4 linked regions of the Drosophila melanogaster genome follow. The protein of the gene in region 4 purifies or fractionates together with the protein of the main gene of each other region. This does not show direct contact. Each region holds a gene or a part of one and is shown on either strand. Other genes may lie near its edges. The genes, in order: Snap29, Vps45, Vamp7 and Syx13.

Region 1 (4,342 bases), on a different chromosome or scaffold from region 4:
TTGTAAAACCATTAATGTTCATGTTGTTTATGTGGTGTTAACTGTGAATGAAACTAATGGATTTTCCATTTCAAATATACATACGTGCATATGTGAAATTTCTTTGGGATCCAAATTATTTAGAAGCGCAAAGTAAACAAAGCCAGTTTAAATTGTATGTTTTTTTTTATTATTTTGTAATACGAAAATTTAATACAATTTGCGATTGAAGTACAATTACAAATGAAATGCTTAAGAGAAATGAATTGTGTGGAAACCAAGTTGAACACAAAATACAAAAATGCTTGGCAAAAGGTAAAAATATACGACTAAAGTTACATTTAGTTATTGTTACGCTTGCTATCGCTTAATGGATTGCAATTTTGCTTTACATAATTATGAAATACATGGGGCGCCGTTTTCTGGCTAGGATTAGAAGGAGGGAAAACAATCGGTTTTGTGCGCGAAGGCAGAGCAGACGGATTATGTCCGCTCGAATGATGCTTGGGTAAGAGGTTGTGTTCCTCTCGATTCAGTGTGTTAGTCTTTTTGTTGCCGCTTCTGATGATCGCTAAGGCTGAAGATCCGCAGGGACCCCGCTGCACCTAATCGCCTTTGCGAGGCTTGCGCTTGCGCACCTGTTCCGTCTTCTCGGGCGCAGCATCGCCGGCCTGCTTGGGCTCCGGCTTCTCTTCCTTTTCCGGCTCGCTGTCGGCCTCCTTCTCTTTAGTGGCCAGATCGCCCACCTGCTCCTCGCTGTCCTCTTCCTCTTCGTCGTCGTCCTCCTGTTCTTCCTCGTCGCTATCGCGTTGCTCGTCATCGTTCTCCTCGGCGTCGCCATCATCCTCGATCTCCTCGGTTGCCAAATCCTCCAGGCCCTCGGTCAGATTGTCCTGGGACTCGGAGAAGCTCTGGCGCTGCGACTTCTTGGGTGGGTAGACAAAGTCCACAAGGCACACGAGCAGCAGCCCCAGGGCAGCGCCCACGAAGATGGTGGCGATGGCGAAGAGGGCGTAGGAGCCCCACGTGGGCAGTCCGTATTCCTCCTGCAGGCGCCCGTTGAAGTCCTTAAAGAGTTTTTGCGTATGCTATTAGTACATGAACCCAACATACAAGACAACAGCAGAGAGCAAAGACCAGAGTAATGAGTGATGGGCGGCAATCTTTTGTGGGTCAACGGGATCAACCCGCTGATAAGCTTCCGCTTATGTCTCATGCAGTGAACCGATGCGATAATGGGCTAGGTGAACGTACCTTCAGAGTGTGCGAAAGCTTGAAGAAGTAGGACAGCACGGACATGTGGGTGGTGTCGGGCTTCTTCCAGGCGGACAGCGGTTCGATGCTCTGCCACTGCTGCTTCTTCACGAAGTAGAGGAGGGCGTCGCCATCACGGGCCCCACGATACTGCCGGAACTCGCCATCTTTTACGCTGGAAATGATTGACGTGGATTACGACGATGTGTATTTCATGGGTTGAAAAGGTCTATGTGGTGCTCACTGGTAGATGGTGGGGAGGGCGGTGACAAAGAAGCGTCCACTCAGCGAGGGCGAGGTTGTCACGTCGATTTTGGCCACCTGCACCTGGACATCCTTGGCCACGCGGGCAAACCGCTCCCAGGTGGGAGCCAGGTTCTTGCAGGCCGGGCACCATGGAGCAAAGCTGTGAATGGAGGGAGAAACATATGTTTAACACAGCTGCCGATGAGTCATCGTCGCCGCAAAGGAATGTCTGGTATTTCGGAGAACGAAAGAACCAGCTTGCCGGCTGGAGAAAGCCGGCGCACCACGCCCCTTTATGTTACGTCAGGGGCAGCGGGGTTTCATGTGGGTAGGGACTACTCAGAGCCACCCTTTCGCACTCACAACTCGATCATCCATTCGCCCTGGAGCATCAGGTGCCAGTTGTCCTCGTCCAACTCGATTAACTTGCCACCTGGCTGCAGTCCTGACTGCGCTGCTGCCGTCGACTGCGCCGTCGCCGCCAGCAGAAGCAGCGCCGCGCATGTCGCGGCCACAAAGTACGATGTGCTATGCATGTGGTGATGTTTTGGTGCTTTGCTCCGCCGATTCGTGTCCTGAAACCTGTGACGTTCGGCTGCGACAGTTTCTTAAATTAAACTAAAGCTTCCGTCTTGGTCAGTTCCAAAAAGTTACAGAAACTGCGACGCCTGCTGGAAAATTGACAGAAGTGCTGGTTCGATATCCATCGGAGATGGCAAGCCGCTTTATTCCCCGCTAGATCATCGGTAGGGGGATTCGGTCGGTATTCGCTCGTTACACGATTTTTTATTTATTAGATCAAGCTTCAAGTTTTCTTACATACAAATTCAATTTTTATCGTATCTTCAAAATCATTTTAATTATAATAACTTATTTTATTGAAGCCTCTGCAATGTCAAGCTATTTATAAGTCGATTGAACTGCATACAAATACTACATTTGTACCATCGCTATTGCAATCGATAACTCCAGACAACAACAAAGAAAATAAAAGTTTACGAAAACATAACAAAATTCGACATTTTGGAAGTTTCCCTCGCCACAAGAAATGGCCCATAACTACCTGCAGCCAGTGCACGATCACTTCGATGACGTGGACAGATTCGAGGACGTGGACGACGACCTATTCCTGCAGAACAAACGGACGGGAGCAGCCAAGCTTCCGCAGCAGAGGAGCACCAATCCCTTCGAGATGGATGACGATGACGAAGAGGAGATAACCTCGTCGCCATCAGTGGCCGCACAGCGACTGGCCTATGCTGAGAAGCGAAGGGCCATTGAGCAGCGAACTCTGGACTCTACCAACAAAAGCTTGGGTAAACATGGGGTCAATTGCCAGCCAATTAAGGGGCGTTATTGATGCGTCTCTCTCCTACAACCCCCAGGTCTGCTCTACGAAACCCAGGAGGTGGGTAAGGCGACGGCCGTGGAGCTGGCCAAGCAGCGGGAGCAACTGGAGAAGACATCACATCAGTTGGACGAGATCAGCTCCACGCTGCGCTTCAGCCAGCGCCATCTGACTGGTCTGAAGAGTGTCTTCGGCGGCCTCAAGAACTACCTTTCGGGCAACAGGGACCAACCACCCACCGCGACTGGTTCGCCCACGGGCAGTCAGTCCTCCCAGGAGGCCAATAGCAACATTAACCAGGGTGCCTGTGGCGGTGCTAGCCCCTCGGCTCCGCTATCACCAGCGGAGCGCTACGACAATCATCCGGTTAGCCAGCTGCGTGGTGATCCCAGCAGCACCTACCAGCCCCAGCGACAGGCGGCCAATCCCTTCCAGGCCCAGATCGATTCCAATCTGGAGGAGATGTGCAGCAACCTGTCGGTGCTGAAGATGCTGGCCACCGATCTGGGTGGCGAAATTGAGTCGCAAAATGAATTGCTGGATAACATGAACTACAAAATTGAGGATGTCGACTTGAAGATTCACAAGCAGAACAAGGACATGAGCAAGCTTCTGAAGAAGTGAACAAGCGAGCATTCGCATACTATTGTATTGATCATTGCTTAGAATAGCCCTCCCTTAATATACAAATCTTAGCCATACCATATCGCACGGTGAGCACTTCACAAGGCCATTAAGAATGCATTCCTCATTATGTTTCCTAGTTTTTTATTGTTACACACACCAAAACAATTCTCTCAATGGAGTGCTCGTAGTTGGAGAGCGATAAGTGTTCAGTTTTAAATAAAGATTCATATAAAAAGCAAGTATATCTGGCCTAGTGTTTCCCCGTCTGGATTGGAATACATTATACATTTTCGGAAGATATCTCGAGTTGCAGTGCTCGCGCCCTAATAAAGATATATAGTTCTTTGTTTGAATTCGATAACTTCCGGACAACAGCGACCAATCGATTCGCTAAAGCTATCAAGCAATCGAATTCCAGTTGATACCATCGCTGGAAAGCTCTTTTCTCAAACGCATCCAAAAGAATAGCGCCAACTCAGCGCATTCCGGAATTCGTTTCGTAAATATTCTGTAAATTTTGCGATAATGGAAGAAAACTTCGAACCGTACACCCCACAGTTGCTCAAGAATCCCTTGTCCTATTCGTGAGTAATAAGATACATATTAAAGGCACTCATGACCACGTGCAACTCATTCTGCAGGGATCTCGTGAAAAAGGGCGTTGAGTTCGAGGTCGACAATTCGCAGCAGAACCATGCCAGGGATCTGGGTCTCGACAGCGACAGCGACAGCGACTACGAGGATGCGCTGGACGTGGACGGCGAGGAGCTACGTTCACCGTGGACATATTCATTCGACGAACTGCGTGCGCTGATGAGCGAGATCGACGAAAACATTTACAAGCGGATCACTCGCACCGGTCACGTGGATCGGGAGGCGGTGCCGAAC
Region 2 (5,074 bases), on a different chromosome or scaffold from region 4:
TACTATACACATAGATATCGTTGCAGAGATGCGATTAGTCTAGGCCCTCCTCCATCTCGTCATCCTCGTAATCTATGCCATCGTAGTCCGTCGAAGAGCGTGTCGTTAGCTGCAAGGATGAATCAATCGGAATTTGCAATTAACTGAGAATTTTGCACGTGCTCAAGCTGAGGCTGTCTACAAGAGTGTCTGGAGCCAACAGAAGACATTGAACCAGAACTATCGAATAAGCTCCATCAAGTCAAGAGTAAAGAACTACAAATTTCAGCCAAAAATACCCACCTGGTTGTAAATCCCACGCCATGCCGCAAACGCTCCCATGGCCAAGACGGCTCCCACGCCGGCTACTATTTTGGTGTTCAGCTCGGAGTCTAGGAACTTGCGCTCCGAGGCCGTCAGACTGGCCTCCGTGCCACTGGGTGTCTTTGTGAGCTTGACGGAACTGTATCCCTCGATGCGGAATATGTCCTTCGTGATGCGGTTGATAAAGTTCACTAGGTTTTGGCAGCCCTTAATGTGATTCTGCAGTGGATTGTTAGGCAGTGCGATCTTAAAGATGATGGCAAGATAGCTGTAGACAATGGCATCAAACTCGCTGTAGGTGTCGCCAAAGAACCACACCTTGCGACCCAATTTCCGGGAGAGCAGGTTCACCACTTTTTTGGCATTGACAACGAGCTGTAAAGTAAAATGATTAATTGATAGTTAAAGAAACGTCTTGCTTTTCACAACATTGATAAGATATATTGATAACAAAAGACCAATACATGAGAAACTGTTTCTTATTAATATAAACTGATGAAACGTTTCCAATCGAAATGCAGCTTGGGTGTAAAACATAGGTTAGATAAACAAATTAAAAAATCCTCGGATTTAAAGATACAATAATGTAATATGAGACAATATGAAATTGAAAGCACTCACGTAGTCGCCTTCGTGCTTGTCCAACTTGTCGTTCACATCGAAACCGGCCATCACCTGAACCACGTCGCAGGCTTCCCTTTGGTAGGACGACGGGTAGTAGAAGTTGAAGGGGAATGGCGTGCGCTTGGCGTAGAGGCCCCGCGTGGTTGTGTCAAAATTGTGAGGCTCTCCAAACAGGAAGTAGTGGTAGTAGGCATGCAGATTGGTGAACACCCAGTTGGCGTAGGCGGTGGACAAATGCTTTTGTTTAGTGCTTAAATGCGCATCTATCGGGTAACCCTGAAAGAATACGTCGAATTAAGCCCATAAAAAAACACATATCTATAAATAGAGCCTGCAGTTTGTTCACCCCGGCATTGTTTTGCTCACTCACCTCGAGATCCAGCACGCGCTTAATTTGCCTATAGCCCGCGAACTTCTGGTTGCCGATCTGCAGATACGGCAGCTTCCCGGCTCCCGAACGCAGCGGATTGGAGCTGGTCTGCACGTCCATGGGGCAGCGGGTGAATCGCAGGAGGCACTGTTTCCGGCAAAGAGGCGCTTTCATCAGTTTCTTTCATCATCTGCGATAATGGGCAAAACAGGCGTGCTGGCCGCCGTGTGATGCAACGGAACTTACCAGAGCACGTAAACATTCAAAATCTATGGACGGCAGTCCGTACTCCCCCTTGTACACATACAGCATGGCTCCCAGTTGCATCTCCATTGTGTCCTAGTCTATGCTTTGCTCGTACTCTTGTATTTAGCCGGTTTTCAACAGTCCACCTGCATATCAGCCATCCGAATTTGAATCCAAAAATATATGCCAGAATTTCTGGCCGACTGCTGCGAGTGCTTCAGACTGATAACTACTGGGCACTCGATATATCGCTCGAGCATATCGGCGCTTTATCGATTGCCGGCCAGGGATGTTGCTACTCGAAGTTTATTTTGGCTAATGAAAAGATACGGAATTATGTTTGAGCTTAATTGCTATTTATGTTTATCTTTATTGCTATTTTTATTATACTACCAAAAAATTGTAAGTTTTTATCTATATGCATTTTTACATATTCACATTATTTTACATTAGCTAGATCTAGCGAATGTTACCCAAATGTTTGGTCACCGCTGTTATCACGGAGCTATCGCAATTGGGGCATCTCCAACCCATCTGTTTGCGAAAAAAAACATTAATTTCTGATTTTCGCAGTAAATTAGTTAGCAGTCATGAATCTGATAAGCGGCATTAAGTTGTACATCGAGAAAATGTGCTCCGAGTCGGGACCGGGCATGAAAATCATTCTGCTGGACAAGGAGACGGTAAGTGCAAGGACTGACAATCAAATCCCCTGCCATATGATCAAAAATTCACATCATTCGCAGACCAGTATAATTTCGATGGCCTTTAGCCAATCGGACATGCTGCAACGGGAGGTGTACCTATTTGAGCGCCTGGACTCGGGAAGATCCAACGAGCGGTTAAAGTATCTAAAATGCATCGTCTTTATACGCCCCACCAAGCAGAACATCCAGCTACTGGCCAACGAGTTGCGGAACCCCAAATACAGCGCCTACTACATTTGTAAGTGGGTCAGTAGAAGCACCTTCGGAATAGTACTAAACTCATAAATAGATTTCAGCAACATCATTCCCCGGACGGACATTAAATACTTGGCAGAGTGCGACGAATCCGAATCGGTGCGAGAAGTGAAGGAACTGTATGCAGACTACCTGTGCGTCAACCCCAATCTGTTCTCATTAGGCATTCCCAATTGCATGGCGAATCTTAATTGGCTGCCGGACGCTCTCAACCGCAGCATGCAGGGCATCACAGCCGTGCTGTTGTCCCTTAAGCTGAACCCAGTGATCCGGTACCGAGCCGGTTCTCAGGCAGCGCAGCTTCTGGCCAAGCTCATATACGAGCAAATCACAAAAGAGTCCTCGCTATTCGACTTTCGCTCCAACATGGATGGCGCTGCGCCACCGCTGCTGCTTGTGCTGGACCGCAGGGACGATCCTGTGACGCCGCTTTTGCATCAGTGGACATACCAGGCCATGGTGCATGAGTTGCTGCACATAAAAAACAATCGATTGGACCTGTCCAATTGCCCCAATGTGCCGAAAGACTTCAAGGAGCTGGTCTTATCCGGTGATCAGGATGACTTCTATGGCAACAACATGTACGCCAACTACGGCGAAATCGGATCTACCATCAAACAACTGATGGAGGAGTTCCAGCGCAAGGCGAACGACCACAAGAAAGTGGAGAGCATAGCAGACATGAAGAACTTTATTGAGTCATATCCGCAGTTTAAAAAAATGTCTGGCACTGTGCAAAAGCATTTGTGTGTGATTGGAGAACTGTCGGCGCTGAGCAACAAGAGGAATCTCTTCGAGGTTTCCGAACTTGAACAGGAGATCGCTTGCAAGGCGGAGCACTCGGCCCAGCTGCAGAGAATCAAAAAACTAATTGCCGACGAACGGGTTTCCATCGATGATGCTCTTAAGTTGGTGGCACTTTATGCATTGCGATACGAGCGACACGCCAACTGCGACACATCTGGACTGCTGCAAATAATCAAAACGCGCGGTGGACGAGCGGCTATAGTGCCATCGTTGATTGAGTATGCTGGAACCCATGTACGACAAGGAGATCTCTTCAATATGGTGCGGATAACGGACGCCGTAAAGCTGACACGGAATTTGATTAAGGGCCTTAAGGGTGTGGAAAATGTCTTCACACAGCACACTCCTCTCCTGAAGGAAACTTTGGAGGACGTGTTTAAGGGCCGCGAGCTGGATCCCCTCTTCCCGGCCATCAATTCAGAGCTTGTGCCATTTCGACGACCACCGCAGGAGGTTGTCGTGTTCATTATTGGCGGTGCCACGTACGAGGAAGCCTTAGCGGTGCACCAGTTAAACAACGCCGGCTATAAAGTCATTCTTGGCGGCACCACCATCCATAACTCGCAGAGTTTTATCCAAGAGGTCGTGGCCGCCACTAGTGGCATTCAGTTTAAGCACACCAAATCCATGATCAAGTACTGTTCCACGGATAACATTTAAAGTCTATTTTGACTAGATAGCCCCAATTATATTGTTAACTATTTATTAACTAAATATGAATGTGCATTATGTATTAAGGTATTCCATGCATTGTACCAATTCAAATCCATTGGACTATTTAACCTTTTAAGCGTAACCATGTAAACATATTTATTGTTATTCTCGAGGGTAACACCAGGCAACGCCTTGGACAAAATGTATTATATACAACTATGTGTGTACAAAATTACTAAACTCTCGTTGTCCTTGCAATAATTCCACCCCGTTTCGGCAAAAAGTTCCTTGGCAACTCCCAGGCAACGTTTCGTTTGGCTCAAACAAGAATCTGATTTTTCATTGGAGGAGTATCATTGACCATCATGTCCAGCACATATTTCAATGATATCTGGCACCAATCCCAGCATGAATGCGAGCTTCTATCCACGATTGACTATGAGAGGCAGCACCAGGATGTGGAGACGACGGTGGCCACCATGAATGCAGCGGTCGGATCCGTCGCCGCCGATGCGGATGCCAAGGCCTTGCTGCAGTCCAGTCTGTACGAGTTCTATCTGCGCTACATATGTCTGAGCAATCGTTTGGAGGATGTCTATGATAATGTGGGTATACGACTTTCTTAAACAAAAGTGGGATATATATAAGGAGATGATATATCCTTTGACTCTGGTTTACTTCTCATCTTTCATCATAGATGATTCAGCCTCAGAAGCGCCAGTTGGTGCGTAAATTACTAGACGCCTGTCTGGGTCGAGTGGTGGAGCTGAAGCACGATCTCGTAAATATCGACTTGATGGAATTTAGCTACAACGACGAGGTGGTGGAACGCCTGCGCCTGACGCCCATGGAAACGGAGCTGAGGATACCACGCTACTTTCTGCGCGAGCGTCAGCAGGAGCTAGAGTTTCGAAAGAAGACCATGCATGAGATCCTAACGAAGCTGGGTTGGCTTGAGGAGCACGAGCTGGAGGAGACGGTTACCACCGAGATCGAAGCCATTAGGATGCTTCAAATGCACGAGCGAGCGCGACAAGGACGCTTGCGTGCCCACTTCATGAAGGAGATTCGCATCCTAAAGGAGAAGGGCAAGTCGGAGGAGCGCACC
Region 3 (4,248 bases), on a different chromosome or scaffold from region 4:
GATTATCCACAGCCGATCCTCGGGCAAATAGTACCGCCCATTGCTCCCATATTCGACGACACAGCGGTACAAGCGAAGGAGCAGATCAGCCAAGAACACGGTGGCTACAATGCGAATAGAGGTGTCTGCAACGAATCACGACCGTAAAGATAATTTATGGCGTCCATCGGTCATCACTCACCAATATAATCTCCTATCATCTTTCGAAAATAAAAATATTTTCTGCCTTTTTCCGCGCGAACCGCGTTCCCCGCTTCGACAACGTTGCTAGCGATTGCCATTTCGTCTGCATACATATGTACGTCTCAAGGGTTGCCAGATCGATTTGGAGATCTCGCGAAAACTTCGCTGGAATTTCAAATGCCGTTAAATTATATATAAATTTGTTTATTGGGCTTGCATAGGTATACATAACTGAATTTGGGCTCCTAAATATTAATTACATTGCGTGCACATACAAATGCACATATTTATGTATGACGGAAGCAATGAAGGAACTACATTGTTATATCTTTTTATTATTATTTACTTTTGTGTTTGTTTATCAGGTATCAGATAAGATTTTATCAATATAGCCTCAAAGATTCGTTAATCAATTTGTATTCGAAATAAAACTTTAGGTAACAATGTCCGGTTCCGACTATCAGATACATATACAGACATGAAATCTGCTGACTGTAAAGCTCTCCGCCCTCTGGAACAAATATTCGTGAGAGCCGGAGCCAGCTCTAGACTCCTCCCAAAAACGCATATTGTTATTCTAGTGTCTTTGGTAAGAGGGTATACTAGATTCGTTGAAAAGTAAGTAACAGGTAGAAGGAAGCGTTCCCGGCCATGTAAAGTATATATATTCTTAATCAAGATCAAAATAATAAAAAATAACAAAGATAATTAAACATTAACAATGGTTAACCAATTGGTGGTTAATTAACCATCAACAATGGTTAACCATTACGCTCTTACTCTGCAACTTAAATACTGATAGCTACACCCTAAACGAATTATAAGATTTGATAAATGATCTTATTTAAGCATGCTTATTGTGTTCTAATATTAAATTCTATAGAAACCTTATCCTGTAAAAGGCTCAAAAAAGTGCAATCGTGCCATATTTGTGGCCAGAATAAATGAGAATTCTAAGTCTTTTAAAATAAGTAATTTTAAATCGAATATTTCGGCAGCATATGCGCATATTGAAACTACGTATATTGTATCTTGCGTGTGTACATAGTTTAAGTTATTACCTGCGGTTTTTTCTGTCAAAACGAATGGATCCAGGCTCAAAGATCTCAGGAGCAAAAGCTTGGGAACGCTATTAATTTAAATTTACTTTAATGGAAAATTCTTTGTCCGGGGAGAAGAATCTCAACTGGATGAACTGATGCTCTCGTCAATACTGAAACGCTATCGGTGGGATGCCCCTATTTAAGTTGCGGAGATCATTTAATTTAATAAGCAAATGCAAATAATCATAAGACCGTATAACATAATTTGTAAAACACGTTATGCAGTGTGACCGTGCGATAAAGCCAGACTTATCGGCTCCATTAAATATCGATGCGTCGATGTACCGTCCTTCCACCTCTAATTTTATAACTGCATCGAAGCGTCAGCAATTGTTGTTATTTGTAATGCAAAAATCGAGCTAATTCCACGGTATTGTGATGTTTTTATTGTGTTCGGCAAAAGCAATTGAAAATCGATAATAACTTAAGCCGCTTACCACAAAATGTAAATCTGCAGTTGCGCTATCAACTCGAGGCGGATCTAATTGGATAAACAAAGCAAGTACTTTGATATAACAATTTGCATATTACACATATATACGTATGTTACTCATAAACAGAGTTATTGTTCAGATTGATAGGCTCGCAATTGGATAGTAGTAGTTTCTAAATCGATATGTACATTTCTCAGAATCCGAGAGCACGTCATCATTGACGGATCGTCGGCTCATTCCCCGATAAGCAAAACAAAGCAGTAGCCTGAGGAGCTGAACAACCGCGCCCTTAGCAAAGGAGAATCTGTGGCACCATGCCGATACTATATAGTGTGATATCGCGGGGCACCACAGTGCTGGCGAAGTTTGCGGAGTGCGTCGGCAACTTTGCCGAAGTGACGGAGCACATAATCGGACGGATCGGGGTGCATAACCACAAGATGACCTACACACACGGAGACTACCTGATCCACTACACCTGCGAGAACAAACTGGTCTACATGTGCATCACCGACAACGTGGGTGAACGAACCACTGGCCCAATTAGCCACCTCAGTTGCTTATTGCCCAATCGATAACGTATCGTTTCTTTGTAGGAGTTCGAACGGTCGCGGGCCTTCCTCTTCTTGGCGGATATCAAGCAGAAGTTTATCCAGACTTACGGCCTACAGGTGGCCACCGCCATCGCCTACTCCATGAACACCGAGTTCTCCAAGATCCTGGCCCAGCAGATGGTCTATTTCAGTCAGTCCCGGGAGGTGGACACCATTTCGCGAGTACATGGTCAGATTGACGAGCTTAAAGACATTATGGTTAAGAATATTGGTATGAAGGAAGGAAAATCCGTATGTTCTTTTTGTTTACTATTCCCTTTTCATCCCATTTGCAGACAGCTTGCGGGATCGCGGCGAGAAACTAGAGCTGCTCGTCAACAAGACCGAAAACTTGAGCAATAATGTAAGGTGATGCCAAGCAGAGACTTTTAAATGTGTTTTTCATTTGATCTCTCTTACAGTCCGTTGCATTCCGTAAGGCCTCCCGAAATTTGGCTCGTCAAATGTTTTGGAAGAACATCCGCGTCTACGTGGTGGTGGGTCTGGTGATAACCTTCATCGTTTACGTGATTGTGAGCATGGCCTGTGGTGGCCTCGCTTGGCAGTCCTGTGTTTAGGACAAGCTTTAAAGTTGTTTATATTGTTATAGGCTCATAACACATGTATATTTGCATATAAAACTCTACAGTACTCTCATCTATGTTCTATGTAATAAACTTCAATGTATACCGGATAAAGTGTTAGAAGAGATAATGGAATATTCACTTGTCCTCCACATACACGACGTCGTTGGCCTTCACCTTTCCCGGCAGCCGAAGTCCCATATGAACGCCCAGAGCCGGCGAACTGTAGTTGAACAAGCGATAGCTGTGGATTCCAGATATGAGGGTCGGGTTTTGTAAGTCGTACTTCTCAGATATTTCCATGGGTAGTGACTCACCTTCTGAGCGTTTTGAGAGGCTCTCCTTCGGAACTCCTCTCTGCGGTCTTCGCATTAATGTTGGTAAAAATACAGCGAGTGCATGGCGCCACCGTACGGAAAACAGCATCTTCGCCTATACGCACCCACTGCCAATTGTCCTCGGCATAGGGCTCATCAACATCCATTTTCAGTTCGAAGTTACCTCGGAACTGCAGTGCATCCACCGGATTCTTTAACCGAGTATTAAGATCGGCGACCGACGAAAGGTTCATCAGCATAAAGCTGGTGGCATCGTTAAAAGTGCCCTATGGAAAGAATTCAAATCAAGGGTGATCTGGGTCCTAACACTTCGAATTGCGCATCAGGAACATACCGAGTCCTCCTGTCTAATGAATGGCATGGACTTTAGGCGGGGATTGGTGCATCTCACTGGTTTCGGATAGGGATAGTGAACTAGCTTGAGGCCGCTCTCCTTCTTCAGGATGGCCTGGGAGAACCACGTGTTGATCCGATCTCCGCAGGGCATCACGTCTATGGAAACGCCCCAAACGGAAGTTTTCACATCCTTGCCAGGACCGTCCAGCTTCTCGAAGTCCAGCTCCAGGTCTGGCATGTCCTGGGCGCTGAACACAAGCTTGCTGGGCGACACCTTCTTCGACTTGATCTGGGTCATAAGCGGATACACCCGAGCCGTGATCATTTCGTTCTTTTCATTGACCACCATCAAGGTGCGATCCCTTATTCCCTCAAAGGACATGCTCAGTACATCGCAGTCGTACTCCACTCCGGGCTTCGAGATGTCCATAGGGGCACAGGACTTGACCGGAAAAAAGTGTATCCTCTCCACGGTGCCCACGCGTCGCCACTTTTGGGGAACCACATCGCGGGTCAGATGGCGGTACAGTAGGAAGCTAGCCCCGCCCACCGCCACCAGGCCCACGCCCACGGCCGCCAGGGTCTTGGGACTGAGGTCAAAGGTCGAGTTATTTCCGCCGGCTGCAGGATAATCCACGTTACTTAAGGATCTCCCAGCTAATCCCGGTTTTTCACTC
Region 4 (5,499 bases):
GGTGAGTTCTTCCGTCTGGTCTACGACGTGAAGGGACGCTTCGTCATCCACCGCATCTCCGCCGAGGAGGCCAAGGTGAGTTATCTAGTCTGTGCTTCCAGAGGTTCCCGCTTTCCAACCATGGAGTTAAAATCTAAAATTATTAACTGAGGTTTCATCCTCAACTAGGAATTCTTTTCATGCAAGAGCACTTGAATTAGATTCATCTAACTTCATCTTTAAAACATAAATAGTTCACCTATTTTGGAATACAAAATCAATCTTTATGCTAATTACCGAAAGTAATTAACTTAAATATCGAAAGGGCTTTGTCGAAGACCGTTTTGCGTGTAGAATAGTGCGCCGATTGGTTCAAAACGAAGCCCAAAGCAATTTTTGATACGACGGTCTCTGATTCGACAAATCCCAGTTGATTCAGTAACTTTTACGTGCAATTACAAAAGAAACCAAGGAGTATAAAGCATTATATTGTAATTCTGTGGGCTACGTCGAAGACCGATTTCCGCTTGTTGCCATGTGTCTATTGGTTCAAATCGAAGCCCAAAGCAATTTTTGATACGACGGTCTCTGATTCGGCATTCCACAGTCGTCTGAGTAACTTTTACGTGCAATTACAATGCAATTAAATGAAAGTGGTAGTGCAATTGTGTAGAAATAAAACGTCTTAAAATTAACCCACATTTTCTTTGCTTCTTTTGCAGTACAAGTTGTGCAAGGTCAAGAAGACCCAGCTGGGAGCCAAGGGAGTTCCTTTCCTGGTTACACACGACGGTCGCACCATCCGCTACCCGGATCCCCTGATCCACGCCAACGATTCCGTGCAGGTGGACATTGCCTCTGGCAAGATCACCGACTACATTAAGTTCGATTCTGGTAAGCATCCGCTATCGTAGATCATCGTGTTCATTGGCTGGTTCGAAGACCACAAAACGCTCCTCGAAAGTTGCGTGGTTCAAAAACAATAAGCCAAAAGCAATTTTTGTCACGACGGTCTCTGATGCGGCATTCCAAAGTCGCTTCAGTAACTTTTACGTGCAATGACAGTCGCCCAATATTATTAACCAAGTCGTATGATTCCAACTAACTGGTATATTTCTCCGTCTCCACAGGCAACCTCTGCATGATCACCGGAGGCAGGAATTTGGGACGTGTCGGCACCGTTGTCAACCGTGAGCGTCATCCCGGTTCCTTCGACATTGTGCACATTAAGGACTCGCAAGGTCATGTGTTCGCCACCCGTTTGACCAACGTGTTCATCATTGGCAAGGGCAACAAGCCCTACATCTCCCTGCCTAAGGGCAAGGGTGTCAAGCTGAGCATTGCGGAGGAGCGCGACAAGCGTCTGGCCGCCAAGACCCACTAAGGCGCAGGAGTTTAAGGACTTTTACCTTTTAGCATAACACTCTGTACGTTTAGCTACGGAATTACAAGCCGAGAACGTAACACATGTGTTTTCTTTTGCAATGGAAGTGGTTGATCTATTTGTTGGCCAAGAGTTTAAAGAATCAGATGTTTGCTTTGAAATGTGTAAAAAAAAAAACATGGGACATGTGTGACGTGACTTAAAGCTATTCAAACGTGACTTTATAGGAACTTTAAAATCAATTCACAATGCCTTAGAACTGGACGTAAAGTAAAACTACCCTCAAAATTGACATTTCAGAGCTTGAAAGACTAGTTTTATCTATGACACGAATTCAAAAGTTGCGTTTGTTAAGTAAATATTTCAAAAGCAGATTTTAATGAGGACTTAAATTTCAATTTATGATGATGATTGTGTTATTCTTGTTTACGTCTTCATCTCACTTATTTCATTCATATCATAAAAAAAGGGCAATAGATTATTGAAAAAAGGAATTCATTTATTTTACGGGGGGGGGGGGGGTGAGTTTTAACCCCTCTGTGGTGCGTGGGGGCTGGAGTTGGCGCCCAAATAATCGATAACCCGCCCCCAGCATCGATAGAACGGCCGCTGCGAAAGCTCCGGTCACACTGCTCAGTGGGCTGCTGCTTCTGCTGCAGAGAATTATCATTGTATTTCGTGTGGTGAAAGGCTTTGTGCGCGAACATTGTGCGTCCCCGGATCAGAACTCGCTTCGAAGTAAGTACCCGACCATCCCGGTGGCGCATTCCGCCGCTGGGCGGAAGCCCTAGCAGAGCCCCCGCCCCCAAAAGCAAATCATATGCGAAGAAGAAAACACGAAAATGCTGGCCACCCATACAACGATGCGCTGCACACACCGATGCACACCGACACATACGCACACGGGCGAACATCATATGTTGATAAGTTGGCGACAACAACAACAACAGCAGCAGCAAGAACAACAAGAACAACAATGCATGTGAATCATTTGTAGGGATTTGTCTGTTTGCTCGCGAGTGGTATTAAATGTCGGCCTATTTAGCAAGACCCCTGCTTTGAACTCACAGCGATACATATGCACTTACAGATATGTCCAAGGCCTTGAACAATCCCGGTGGCAACGGAGGAGGCGGTGGCCCCCATCGGGACTATGGTGCGATGGCCGATTCAACGCCCGAAGTGAGCTTTGCGGCAGCCGGCGGTTCGTCCGGCTTCAGTCCGACGGAATTCATGTCTCTTAGTGAGGACATTGGCCACAACATCACTGCCATCCACAGCAGCACCAAGCAGTTGGAGAAGCAGCTGAAACTGATTGGCACATCCAAGGAGCAGCCAAATCTGCGGGAGAAGGTGCACACCATCAACACCAAGTGCAATGCCCGGGTGCAGACCACCAGTCAGGACTTGCAGAGGCTACAGGCCGTTGTGCGGCACGGAGATCGCCAGCAGAAGCTGCAGCTGGAGAAGCTCACCCGGGAGTTCCATGGCGTGGTGGAGAAGTACTCCAATCTGCAGCGACGCATCTCATCGGCCATGCGGCAGACCCTGCAGCAGGCGCAGCAATTTGCCGATCAGGTGGTGGAGACCAACGCCCGTGCTGAGCTGCTGCAGCAACAGCGCTTGGAGCAGGCCCATCTCCAGCAGGAGCACGACATGCTCGACGATCGGCGGCGGCAGGTCGAGCAAATAGAGTCGGACATCATCGATGTCAACCAGATCATGACCCAGCTGAGTGGACTGGTGCACGATCAGGGGCAGCAGATGGGTGAGTAATCTCCATCCAAGTGGGGCTCAACGACCGCAAATCGAGAAACCACAAGCCGTAATTAGGGCTCTCACTTTACGACCCAAATGCACGCAGTTCCACATATTTAATAGCGTCCAAATGGAGAAATCCATTGGTAAAACAAAATATTCAGAGCTTATCAGTTGCTTAAAGGTTGCATAGCAAATCTCTCAAATGAGTTGATAAGTAAACATGTGCAAGAAATTATGAATCATTGACTTTGCTTCAATAACAATGCACATTTCGAAATTGATTGGAATTATCAACAACGACTTAGACGTTTTAATTTTCCATATCTTTTATGAAAACCCGTGTCATTTGGCAAGTAATGTGTGCATACGCTTATCATATCGTTTAATTTAACTTCCTGTTTATTTGAACAGTAATCAATTATTTCGGGTCTTACAAAAATAAGAAGAAACTGATAAGAGCAAGCAAATATTATAAAATATTTACTGACTGCTATTACAGGTTTAAATATCCAAAATTTTTCACTCCTTATTAGTAATAGTTTTGAAAATTTCTAGGTGCTTGCTTGATGGAAGGTTTTTGTACTTGTTTTTGATTACACTTTCTAAGCAAATCTCAATTTCTTTCCAGATTTCATCGAGAACAGTATTGAGCAGACGGCCGCCAACGTTGAGGATGGCACCTCGGAACTGGCCAAGGCGGCCAGGAGTCGCCAGAGCTACCGGCGCAAGATCTTGATACTCCTGGTGATCGCTGTGATAATAGGTTTAATCGTAACTGGCGTTATCGTTGCCAAACTGAACAGTTAATTGTTTTATTTTTACGCCCATATTCAACAAACACACGCAAACATACACAACCCACACACACACACACGCATAGATTTTTGTAAAACGATTTTTATAAGAAACAAAATATTCGATCGTTGAGAACTCTGTTTAATCACCAAGTGAGCAAAGACAACAAGAATGTAGAGGAAAAGCTAAAGCAAAAAATAAAAACAAATACCATATTTATAATTATACATATATATCTACATATATATACATAAGTAAATAAGGATACTGAATCCCACTTAACTTGCATATAAACAATATTCAGCGCTTTTAAATGTTAATTATTTCTTGTTAAAAACGATTATCGCGAGCAATCTGAGTTTTGCATTGAAATTTGTAAAATTTTTGTGTTTAGTTTCGAGAAAGCGGAAGGCGGATTGCTGAAGCCGTCTGCGGCTTTAGTATTCCCTTTTGATATATGTTACAAGTTATATATAAGTGAGCCAGCAATCGAAAATAAAATAAACCGAACAAACCAATTTGAGTGATTTGAAAAGCGCGCCAAGTGGCTCAAAGAGGATGCAATAGGTTGGCAGTCCGCTTAAATTGATAGGACGTAATCGATAGACTTATCGGTGTGGGGCAAAACCAAAACAACGTGCTGCACAGCAAAACATTTATATTTCGTTTTCTTGATAAAAATTTGTCATTTGTAAAGATGCCACAGGGAAAATTCAAGAAGGCCAAGCTACCAGCAGCGATACAGAAAAAGAAGAACCAAAAGCAAGCTGCTTTCACCCGTCGATCAAGTGATTACCCACATGCTTAACAATCTTCTCCAAATTCTATGTTTTTGTTTTATTAATTTACAGATGCGCCAATTCAGGCGAAAAAGGCCAAGTTCAATGAGACGCAGAAGATCAAGTCCGTTATTTCGAAGTCGGTCAACAAGAGCGTGGAGAGCGAACTGCGCTCCCGCGCCCACGAGGGCTACATCCAGTTGAGCAAGGCCCAGGAGGCGGTGGCCAAGCACCACGCCTCCCAGGCGAAGGCGGCTGCGGCGGCCAGTACCGCCAAGTCCGCGGAATAGCTTACTCTAGGCATAAGTACTCTGTTGATAACCAAATGACCTGCATATTGTATAGTAAAACATTTCTAAAACTATTTCCTTTGTTATAGCATCGATTGGAACCCAAAGGAAACGAATTCTCCTCTTAAGATTGCCAAAAGGATTAACAAATCCGCCTAATATCAGAGCATATGAGCTTTAAAGCGTTGTTAGTATCTGCAATCTCTCAACAGTCTACTAAATTAAGAAAGTTACTTAAATTTTGTAGTTCTCGCTGAGTTTTAGGATTGCATTTCTATTGATGGTCAGGTGAACCTAATATTTGATACTAAATTCATTCATTAGAAGCTATACTAAATGAACAAATTCATTTTCAATGTTAGTATGAACTATTTTATGTTATAAAAAGTTAAATGTTGCCAAATGCAGAGTACATTGTCTTACAATCTTGAATATTTTATTCAGTATGTTTCACAATGAATGCAAATTACTAAGAACGATAACATTTTCTTTTAAATGCCGTGCAAATTAT

Evidence for each region.
Region 1: the proteins of Syx13 (region 4) and Snap29 purify together in Drosophila melanogaster (affinity purification with western blotting; 2 studies listed by BioGRID, with this or other methods). This does not show direct contact.
Region 2: the proteins of Syx13 (region 4) and Vps45 purify together in Drosophila melanogaster (affinity purification with western blotting, with the first as the bait; one study listed by BioGRID). This does not show direct contact.
Region 3: the proteins of Syx13 (region 4) and Vamp7 purify together in Drosophila melanogaster (affinity purification with western blotting; 2 studies listed by BioGRID, with this or other methods). This does not show direct contact.

Annotation. Positions count from the first base shown.
Region 1 is NT_033778.4:23,842,832-23,847,173, reverse strand, and holds Snap29 (Synaptosomal-associated protein 29kDa), read left to right. Parts: upstream 1-2,410; 5' UTR 2,411-2,527; coding exon 2,528-2,795; intron 2,796-2,864; coding exon 2,865-3,451; 3' UTR 3,452-3,691; downstream 3,692-4,342. Other genes in the region: CG5554 (uncharacterized protein), read right to left, coding at 585-1,067, 1,234-1,408, 1,478-1,639, 1,843-2,015; shu (shutdown), read left to right, coding at 3,980-4,038, 4,096-4,342.
Region 2 is NT_033777.3:9,561,893-9,566,966, forward strand, and holds Vps45 (vacuolar protein sorting 45), read left to right. Parts: upstream 1-2,031; 5' UTR 2,032-2,133; coding exon 2,134-2,226; intron 2,227-2,289; coding exon 2,290-2,488; intron 2,489-2,539; coding exon 2,540-3,972; 3' UTR 3,973-4,200; downstream 4,201-5,074. Other genes in the region: CG9393 (uncharacterized protein), read right to left, coding at 35-109, 283-678, 925-1,203, 1,298-1,444, 1,544-1,630; CG16789 (uncharacterized protein), read left to right, coding at 4,332-4,571, 4,664-5,074.
Region 3 is NT_033778.4:9,839,837-9,844,084, reverse strand, and holds Vamp7 (Vesicle-associated membrane protein 7), read left to right. Parts: upstream 1-1,582; 5' UTR 1,583-1,784; intron 1,785-1,859; exon of another isoform or gene 1,860-1,917; 5' UTR 1,918-2,034; coding exon 2,035-2,238; intron 2,239-2,316; coding exon 2,317-2,545; intron 2,546-2,609; coding exon 2,610-2,677; intron 2,678-2,735; coding exon 2,736-2,891; 3' UTR 2,892-3,005; downstream 3,006-4,248. Other genes in the region: sting, read right to left, coding at 1-125, 182-281; Marc (mitochondrial amidoxime reducing component), read right to left, coding at 3,036-3,141, 3,215-3,501, 3,570-4,192.
Region 4 is NT_037436.4:13,042,465-13,047,963, forward strand, and holds Syx13 (syntaxin 13), read left to right. Parts: upstream 1-1,969; 5' UTR 1,970-2,101; intron 2,102-2,173; exon of another isoform or gene 2,174-2,385; intron 2,386-2,453; 5' UTR 2,454-2,455; coding exon 2,456-3,131; intron 3,132-3,752; coding exon 3,753-3,931; 3' UTR 3,932-4,430; downstream 4,431-5,499. Other genes in the region: RpS4 (ribosomal protein S4), read left to right, coding at 1-75, 702-873, 1,110-1,363; CG11279 (uncharacterized protein), read left to right, coding at 4,617-4,707, 4,771-4,988.